2 linked regions of the Oryzias latipes genome follow. The protein of the gene in region 1 interacts with the protein of each later gene in a biochemical or structural test. Links are inferred from orthologs where the notes say so. Each region holds a gene or a part of one and is shown on either strand. Other genes may lie near its edges. The genes, in order: ksr1 and mark3.

The links.
Region 2: of the proteins of ksr1 (region 1) and mark3, one has a biochemical effect on the other in vitro, tested with the Homo sapiens proteins (2 studies listed by BioGRID). The link is inferred for Oryzias latipes from reciprocal best matches to the Homo sapiens genes KSR1 and MARK3.

Annotation. Positions count from the first base shown.
Region 1 is NC_019872.2:17,303,995-17,308,479, reverse strand, and holds the start of ksr1 (kinase suppressor of Ras 1), read left to right. Parts: upstream 1-1,611; 5' UTR 1,612-1,985; coding exon 1,986-2,201; intron 2,202-4,485.
Region 2 is NC_019880.2:21,349,405-21,353,813, reverse strand, and holds the start of mark3 (MAP/microtubule affinity-regulating kinase 3), read left to right. Parts: upstream 1-1,359; 5' UTR 1,360-1,933; coding exon 1,934-1,984; intron 1,985-4,128; exon of another isoform or gene 4,129-4,205; coding exon of another isoform or gene 4,206-4,244; intron 4,245-4,409. Other genes in the region: eif5 (eukaryotic translation initiation factor 5), read left to right, coding at 275-373. UniProt on the Homo sapiens protein: Serine/threonine-protein kinase. Involved in the specific phosphorylation of microtubule-associated proteins for MAP2 and MAP4. Phosphorylates the microtubule-associated protein MAPT/TAU. Phosphorylates CDC25C on 'Ser-216'.

The sequences.
Region 1 (4,485 bases):
GTAAAAAAAAAATTGGCACATTATTCCCGCCTGATCCAAATGATGATAAAAGTCTTGAGGAATCCAATGACCTCGTGTATTCACAAAGTTACAACAGACGTTGCCAGTCTTTTATTTTGATAATATCTGTTTTTTTGCCAAGGTCTGAAAAATTCTTGCAATTCACTGCAAGCTAAATAAAAACCATATCTATAGAGAAGTGATTCAATGTGGCCGTTTGCTGAAACGGCAATAAAGTTCAAGCTTTTGAGGAACAAATGAGGTCTGGTTACAAATCTAAAGACCAGAAAGACTACACATTCAAGTCATCTGACTACATTTGAAGAAATTATTGATGCAAGCAAATACAAATTTTCGAACATTAATGGAAGAATCCTCCGTGGCAACATTTACTTTGAATCCAAATGACATTTAAATACAAGGATTTGGATATTAGTATTAAACCAAATTCTGTCTTAAAAGGAGTTCTAATGGTGCTTAAAAGGATGGTAGTACACCCGTCGTGTTTTGGTTCTAATTTCTTGGCCAAAAATGTTCTCTTTTTAAATTGTAGGAAAAGACAAAACAGATATGATCTACTTTTGAAGGTTTAAACATCTGCTGGGTAAAACTTTACAACCAACAGGTCACGCGAGACAGACAAAAAAACACACACACAAAAAATACACAGATATTTGCAAAAAAAAAAAAATATTAAAATCTTTTAAGGGAACTGAATCATTTAGCTAGATACAATATATTTTAAATTTGCAATACTTTTTTGTTATTTCTTTTTTAATTTTGTATTTTGGAATATTAAAAAAATCAGAAAACCTTTTTGCAACAGTCTCTATAGTCAGGTAATTTGAAATTACAATTATTTTTTTCAAATGGAGTTGACTATCCAGGGAAAAGCATTTTTTCTGGGCTCTCTGATATTTCCATATTTTTAATATTGTACTTAAGTTTGGAGAAGCACACTTAAATCTACTATCTGTCCTTGGTATACACTACAAAAAAGGGCTATAAGAACAAATCACCAAGCTAATGACTAGTATGAACACACCCATCCTTTATTTGTAAAATCTAACAAAGAGAGGATTTTCAATCTTTAAATTAAGACTCAACAGATAAGAATGGTTATGAGGTCATTGATTGCTTTTGTCTGAGCCCCATGATGATTTTAATGAATGTCTGGTATTTATTTATAATGTGATTGATGGGGAATTATAGATAAGAAATATATATTTTTAAATTTTGTTGTTAAAGTTGAATGGGTCTTAAGGAGTAGGCTTCGCTTCTGCCTATCGTTTTCAAACATGTTATTTTTCTTAAGGTCTGTCAAATGGAGATTGTTGTTTTCCCCTTAATGAAAAGGTTTGAATAAATGATTATTATCACAGAGGGTATTACTTTATGTGTTGCTACTTTTATAATATCTATAAAATAGTATTTTTAAAATGACAAATGTGCCGACAACAAACAAAACACTTGTATTTAAAACAAGTCATGATCATTAAAACTGTATGTCATATTGCTTAAACAACTGAAAGGTTGTTTTTTTCTTCTCTTTTTGAAGTAGAGATGTGGCTCTTTGAACGTTTACATATCGAACTATATTTCCCAGGATGCACCGCGCTCGATGATGTTCCCAACAGCTGACAGACGTTGAAGCCTCCGCCAGAGCCTTCGGTGGAAGCTAGTGTGTATCCTCTCGTCGGAAGCCCACACGGACGGAGAATACAAGCCTTATCGGACCTCGCCGAGTTGCTCGACCCAGTTCACGGTCGAACACGCCGTTTTTTTTTAAATCAAATATTACCTCGACTGTTTTTTTTCTTTCTCCCCACACCGTGACCTGGAGACAGTTGCTGTCAGCTAACTTCCTACGACAGGTCGCTGCGTCGCTGGACCGCTGCATATGTTTCATTTGAGCTTAGCGGTTTGACCCCCCCTCACCCTCCCCCTCACCCCCCAGTCCTTCCATCCGAGCCCAATGCTGAGGAATGGATAGTGTGTCTATCAGAGGTGGGAGGATGGTCGAGAGTGATGAACAGCCGGAAAGGGGCAGCAGCGGCGGCGGCGGCGTGGCGATGGCCGCACTGCATCAGTGCGAACTCATCCAGAACATGATTGATATCTCCATCTCCAGTTTACAGGGGCTACGGACTAAGTGCGCAGCCTCCAACGACCTTACGCAGCAAGAAATACGCACTTTAGAGGTAAGCAGCCTTCCCGATCTGTCATGGCATGCAGCGTCCTGTCTTGAGACACCGTCAAATTGCGGAGTCATGAAGCCTGCGCGCCGCATCCGCTTGAATGTACGAGCTGCAGGCTCAGTGAGCCGAGGGGGACCGAACAAGAGAGCGCGATCGGGTCTAGAACATTCCCAAACGGGGGTGCCTAGGATCTATCTTCCACTGCCTGACCCCTCCATCTCTGTCATTTGTCAGGAGGAGGGGGAGGCTCCTGTGTGTGCCTGGCCTAATGGCACACATTCAATAATAATCGGATGCACGATATATTGGCAACTCGTGATGTGCGATTTTAATGATCATTTCGACGATATGACTGGTGATGCATCAAAAAAGCTAAACAACTAAATACATAATTTCCATTTCAACACTTTTATTAAAATAAAAGGCCACATAAATTAAATTAAACTCCAGATGACCCTAGTCTATATAAGAGGCAAGCATGACGTAATATTTAGACTGATTAAGCCGGGGCTCAATTAAATTTGTTAAATACTTTAAGATGCCATACGATTACTTTAGCATGTGTGCAAAAATTTAAAGTAACCATTTATCTCAACTTTTGCTATACCTGTGTTGCATAGGCGATATTGCAATTACTATCCATTTACGATTTCTGGTTTACGATTAGTTTGCTGCTGCTATTACTGATGTTGCTGTATGTGCAGCTCTGTGACCCTCTGTGCTATGCGACAAACTACAAGGTTGTGTCAGAATTTCTTCACTACACATTACACTTTAGTGCTTTCACCAGTTTAGTAGGTCTGTCTGAATCTACAATTCCAAAATCCAGTGCCCTAGAAATCTCTGAAGTCTCTGTGAAAAACCAGTGTGCATTGGTGCACACTAGATCGCAGTGTGTTGACCACAATGCGTTTAGACAATTTTTGTGGGAAAAATGTATGTTTTTTTTTAATAAGCCATCAACGTTTTCATCATCAGAACACAGTGGATTCATAAATAGCTGTCATAAAATGTTCTTGCTGATTATGTTTTCACTTTGTGAAATCAGTGACGTCATAATTGCCGTTTAAAAAAAAAAAAGTGAGCAACGTGTCTGAATTGCTTTCAGGGCACTAAAATAGTCCCACACTAGATAGTTTTTTAGTTAGAGAGAGGGAATTCAGACATAGCCCAAAACAAACCCAAGACTTTGAAATGCATTTTTCAATTTATTGCCAACTAGAAGTCCTCCTGATCCAGATTTCTTCCCATCTTCGGATGTCTTGACATGGCTTGGTGAAAGAGTCTTCAGCACCAGGAAGTATCTTGGAAATGTCCAAGCAAAGAAATTGCTCCATATGTATTTTGCAGTTGAAGTAAACAAACTCATTTTCCACATGGCGTAAAATTTTGCGTACCAATATTACCTAATAATAAGCAGGCTCAATGCTTTACACCTCTGTGGTGCAGAAGTAGAGCGGTTGACCTATGATCGGAAGATCGCAGGTTCGCAGGTACCTTATCCGCCTGTGTCAAAGTGTCACTGAACCCCACATTGCTCCTGGTGGTTATAGGTTGTCAAATTATCCCTGAACCCCACATTGCTCCTGGTGGTTATAGGTTGTCAAATTGTCCCTGAACCCCACATTGCTCCTGGTGGTTATAGGTTGTCAAATTGTCCCTGAACCCCACATTGCTCCTGGTGGTTATAGGTTGTCAAATTGTCCCTGAACCCCGCATTGGTCCTGGTGGTTATAGGTTGGCGCCAGTGTTCGACAGTAGGGCCACCATTAGTCTGTGCATTGGTTAATAGGACTTTGACTCTACAGTGCCTTGCGGCCTGCTAAGAAGGTAGCAGGGGGTATATAAGTGTATGCAATTTACTATGTATGAAGACAACAGGGGTAAAACCTGAACACATATGAAACAAATTGGAATATTGGAGTTTTCAGCACTCAACAGCCTTATGAATAACAAGTGTGCTTCCTGGTTCATTGTTTATTTAAGCCTTATACCTTGGCTTAAATAAGTATCCCAACTCTGATTGACTAGAGGCTATTAATTATCCATGTCTGTTTTATTTCTGGATAACTCAACACCCCTATTAATAATTATACAGTTGCCCTTAAAAACTAATGTTTCAGAAAGCCCAGGGTTTAGGTTTCATCTATACGGCGACATAATACGATCTCAAATGCGCCTTATTGTTGTTGTTTCTTTAGGTGGGGGGGGGTTGGCAAGTTGTATTTGTTGTCTTGTTGTTGTCAGCTTAGGAGGGCATTATGATCCACGTAGGGGAAAGTGACAC
Region 2 (4,409 bases), on another chromosome or scaffold:
CAAATCACTATTTTCATCAGAGAGGGTCTTCAAGATCGGAAATGCAACATCTCTTTAGAGCTCAAGGCTGAACTTAGTGTGATGGCAGTCTGGGGTCTGGGGTCCAGACCGGGGTAACTTCTTGCGATTTAGTTCAGCATTTCGGTCTTGTGAACCTAAAGGTACTTGTTTACCTGTTGGAGGGTTAACACTTGGTCTCCTCAGGTGGAGACGTCGGTGGGCGTCCATCGTAGTAAAGGTGACGTTCCTTAAATCTGCTGTTTTGCGTCTTCAGGTGGTGTATTCGTCCTCCGCTCGTGAGCTGAAGGTGGAGACGGTCAAACCAGAAACACCCGAGAAGGAGGAGGATGACATTGACATCGATGCAATCTAAGACGGATGTGTATGCTGATGCTGTGACTCATAACGCTCTGTATGACGTATGGAATAGTTTGCCTTTTGCTCCTTTACTACATTTCCCAGACTCCCTTCTGCTTTGTGGCATGATTTCTGTAGCGCTTTTCCTGCTGCACAGTAACTGTAATCCTGACATGTACTCAGTTGACTAAATGAAATTGCTCGGGGGTTAATCACAAGTGTTATGGGGATCATTTTGATTTGCATCTTTGTTTTCTCCTTTGTTTTGGGGAAAGGGAGGTGCTTGTTGTATTTTTCCAGTCAATAAAAATGTTTTGCTATCCACCACACTGTTGTCTTTTCTAAAGGATGACTTGATGTAAACGGTGCTGTATGTATTAGTTAATGCAGGGAAAACAGAACATCGGTTCTGAAACGCTCAGTTTTGGATCAACCTAGACTCTGGGTTCGCATAGAGAAACGCCTTGGGATTGTCAGATGCTAGGGACAGGAAGCTGGTGTTTTCACGCGGGCTTTACCTTCGTGTGCGTCATCCACACCCCTTTTGAAGTGAGTCACGAGGCAGTTTCCTCTCGGCCCGCCGAGGTTCTGGTCGGGCTCACCGGTCCAGTGGGACCGAGGTCAGTAAGTTTTCTCTGCCCGCTCAGTAAAACATGGACGTGGTGCCTTCAAGTACCGTCAGGAGCGCAGAGATTGCATTCAAGTTAAAAAACGTTTTCACATTTTTGTAAACCATTTTTCTCATCAAATTAGTTCAACTGCAACGTTTTTCTAATTAAATTAATGATTATTTTGAAGGGCGAAAAAACAAATACACCACTGACAACAGTTAAAATGCATATATTTTACTTTGTGTGCTGATTATATGTATTCCGTATTTTCACAGAAAAATGCCACTTGTAGTGGGAAATCGTGCTGAATTGGTGTTTTTTAACCCTTCGGAGATTCACGGTTTAGTTATGTCTGACGGTGCAATGGGTCCGTGAACGCATCCTAATCCAGCCCAGCCGCTCAGTAGCCATTTTGGTCCCACCTAAAACAGTCCGAACTGCTTCACTTTAGTCCGCAGGAGATGGGAGAAACAGAACAGACTGCGGGTGTTTCAGCCTTCCGGGGATTTACCTTCTCTCTGCCAAACTCCTACCAGTGACCCTATATCGGTTCTGTTTAATCCGAACTCGGTTTGCGGGAAAAGGGAAGGTTCGGCTATTTTTGTACCGACCGACACAGTCACACAGCGCCTTCGCGTTAGTTTAGTTAGCCTCACTGACTCTCATGGACACCGCTTTTCCTGTCGGGATGTGTGGATCGGACCTCACCGGCCTGCAGTGACATGTAACCACTGAAAAGCAGACCGTACCGCTCCGTAGTTTCTTCTTTTTTTTTTTTCTTTGCTCTTCCTGAGAGCTCAGGTGCTCGGCACAAACACGTCCGGTCTGCGAGAGTCGTCACGATCCATGCCGAGACCGTTTTCCGGAGAGAGCTGCAGAGCGAATTAGGGTCTGTTGGTTTTGGGAGGTCGGGCTGGCGTTTGGACATCGGAAAACAAGAGTTTTGAAGGAAGACGGCCGAGAAGATGTCAACCAAAACTCCCTTACCCACGGTCAACGAAAAGGTGACGGAAAGTGTGAGTAGACGGGCTCTTCTGGTCACGTTCAATCGGTCAACTGCCTGAAAAATGGCTGTCAGTCAAAGATACGCGGCAGCCCAATCACTTCATTTCTTTATTTTCTGACCGATGGCTTGTTTTACACCCGATGTACTACTTTGTGTTACATGGTAAACAAGCTGCCTCTCCGTCAAACACGCCCTGCCTTTAATTTATACCGGCGTGTGAGATAAAAATAACACAACACTTGGTTCTTGCATGAACTGTAAAACATCTGCCTTGTTGTGACTTTTTATTTGGTGTTTAAGCAAGCAGCTAAGGCCCAAACACGAGCTGAACTACAGTACTTTGCCTGCTGGACTGGTTCTGGCAGGCAACAGTAGTTTCCGTCCCGGACGCCAGTTGGCCTTTGCAGCTGTCAATCACGACATTTTATCCACTCAGATTTCAAAGCGAACCCTCGTAGCTCCGCCCCCTGTGACAAACAGTGCTCTCCTGCTTGAAAGGAGGTCGTCGAACTGCTGGCAACATGACTCTGTGGGCTTCCGGTTTGTGCTATCAAAATAAAAGAATATTTAATGAAACTAGTTCATAATTTTGTTGTAATTAAAAACGGGTCTTATTATTACAATCAAAGAATTCCCAGAGGATTTGTAATATTGCACATTAATGTTAAAAATTTGCGGTGCACATTTTGTTGACCGTGGCTTCTTGTGGTGTTTGCTCTTTTACAATGTATGATTTTTGTAAGTAGACCTCCTGACGCCTTGAAGAGTTACTTCAACACCTGATTGACTGACGTCTTTAAACACAACACCTCTGTTTAAACAGCCTGAGTAAATAACTGGGAGAGGAGGATTTTAGAGTAGCTAACAGCCAATCTAGTGTTTTAGTGAGAGTCCTATTGAAGCTGATTTAAAATTCAATTTTAGAGACTGCTTAGTTATCTCAGTGTCTGAACACCGCTTCTACTTTACTCAGCTGTTATTCGTTTTCCTTGTTGGATGATTTGTATTGTAGCAGTAATTGCTTTTGTAGGAATTTTGTGAGAGTTTTTTTAAGTCGTGTAAAGTTGTTACTCAGCTTCAGGAAGTCCCTCAGCAGCAGAAAAACCCTTTCCTTACATAGGATCATGTCCAGGGACAGAGGAATGGCCTGTCTGCTAAAGTATTGGACAGGATAATTATCTAACAGTTGATTTTAGTGTTAATTAATAGTGGCTCTTCTGAAAATAAAGATATAGAATCGACATCTGCATATTTCTAAGTGATTGTTTTGAGGGGGAAAGGAGGCATTTTGTGAAGCAGGCAGATTTCGAGTATCATACATCCATACATTCTGTCCTTCCCCGTATCATGTTGTCTAAGCCACTGCAGATGCCTGATGTCTGCATGTGATACGGTCCGTCTCATGACTCGTGTCAGCTGCAGCGTCTGCTGGAGTGGAGCACAAACAGCTCAGAGGGCGATAAGATGAGGTGAAACTATTGATCCTTTGTTGCTCAGTGTTCTAATGTAAAGGATGACTAGTAAAGTCCCCACTCCGATCACCTTTTGATCCGTTCTAAAGCCGATCCCAGTGCTCTCTCAATTAGGATGATCCAGTTTTCTGAAAAATCATAAAACTTGTTTTCTAGGACATCATTTTTTTTCAGAGCAGCAGGAGTTCCTCAGAAATTCACCTCTGATTTGTGGGCGGGACCGTTGGTGCAGAGTCCTGTTTGTTTATGTGCAGATTCCAGCTCAGACCAGAAAAACAAAGACATTCACCGATCTATTTGTCTGACAGTGGATGATCAGAAAGGGGCGGAGCAGGGAGAATTTGGCCCCGCCCACCGTAGTTTGTACGTTAAGACTACAACCTTTTTCAAACAACATTATTTCTTTAATCTAAATTTTCTTAATAAATGTGCTCCATCATTAGAAAAAAGCCACACGAACGTGTTAAAAACTCCATATTCATCGGAGTGGGTCTTTAATCAGGAGTATAAGCAGTTTGAAGAATATCTACAACTTCTGGTAACAGACAGGCGTTTACCTTTTAATGTGTATTTTTTTCTATGAAACGGGGATGTTCAGATCAGAATCCCAGGCTTTATTTTGAAAGGACGGCTGTTCCCTGCTTGCCTGCAGCAGGCTGAGCTTCATCAGTGCTCCTCTTCCTCTCTGTGCTTGTGGGGCTCTGGTCTGTGCGGGGCTGTGGGCATCCTCAGAGGGCAAAGTGCCGTCCTGTGGAAAACATGACGGGCTCTCAGGCCACCCGGAGACATCGCAGCCTTGTGAGTAAAACATAGGAAGGGGTTTCTCTGTGTTTGTAGAGGACGTCTTGCAGGAAGTTGTTGGATGAAACCGTTGGTTGAATGCTTTAGAGTTGGGAATGTTTTCCTCCTTGTTGGTCTGAAGTGCCGAGCGGGTCAGCACTGCATCCCAATCCCGCCACGGAC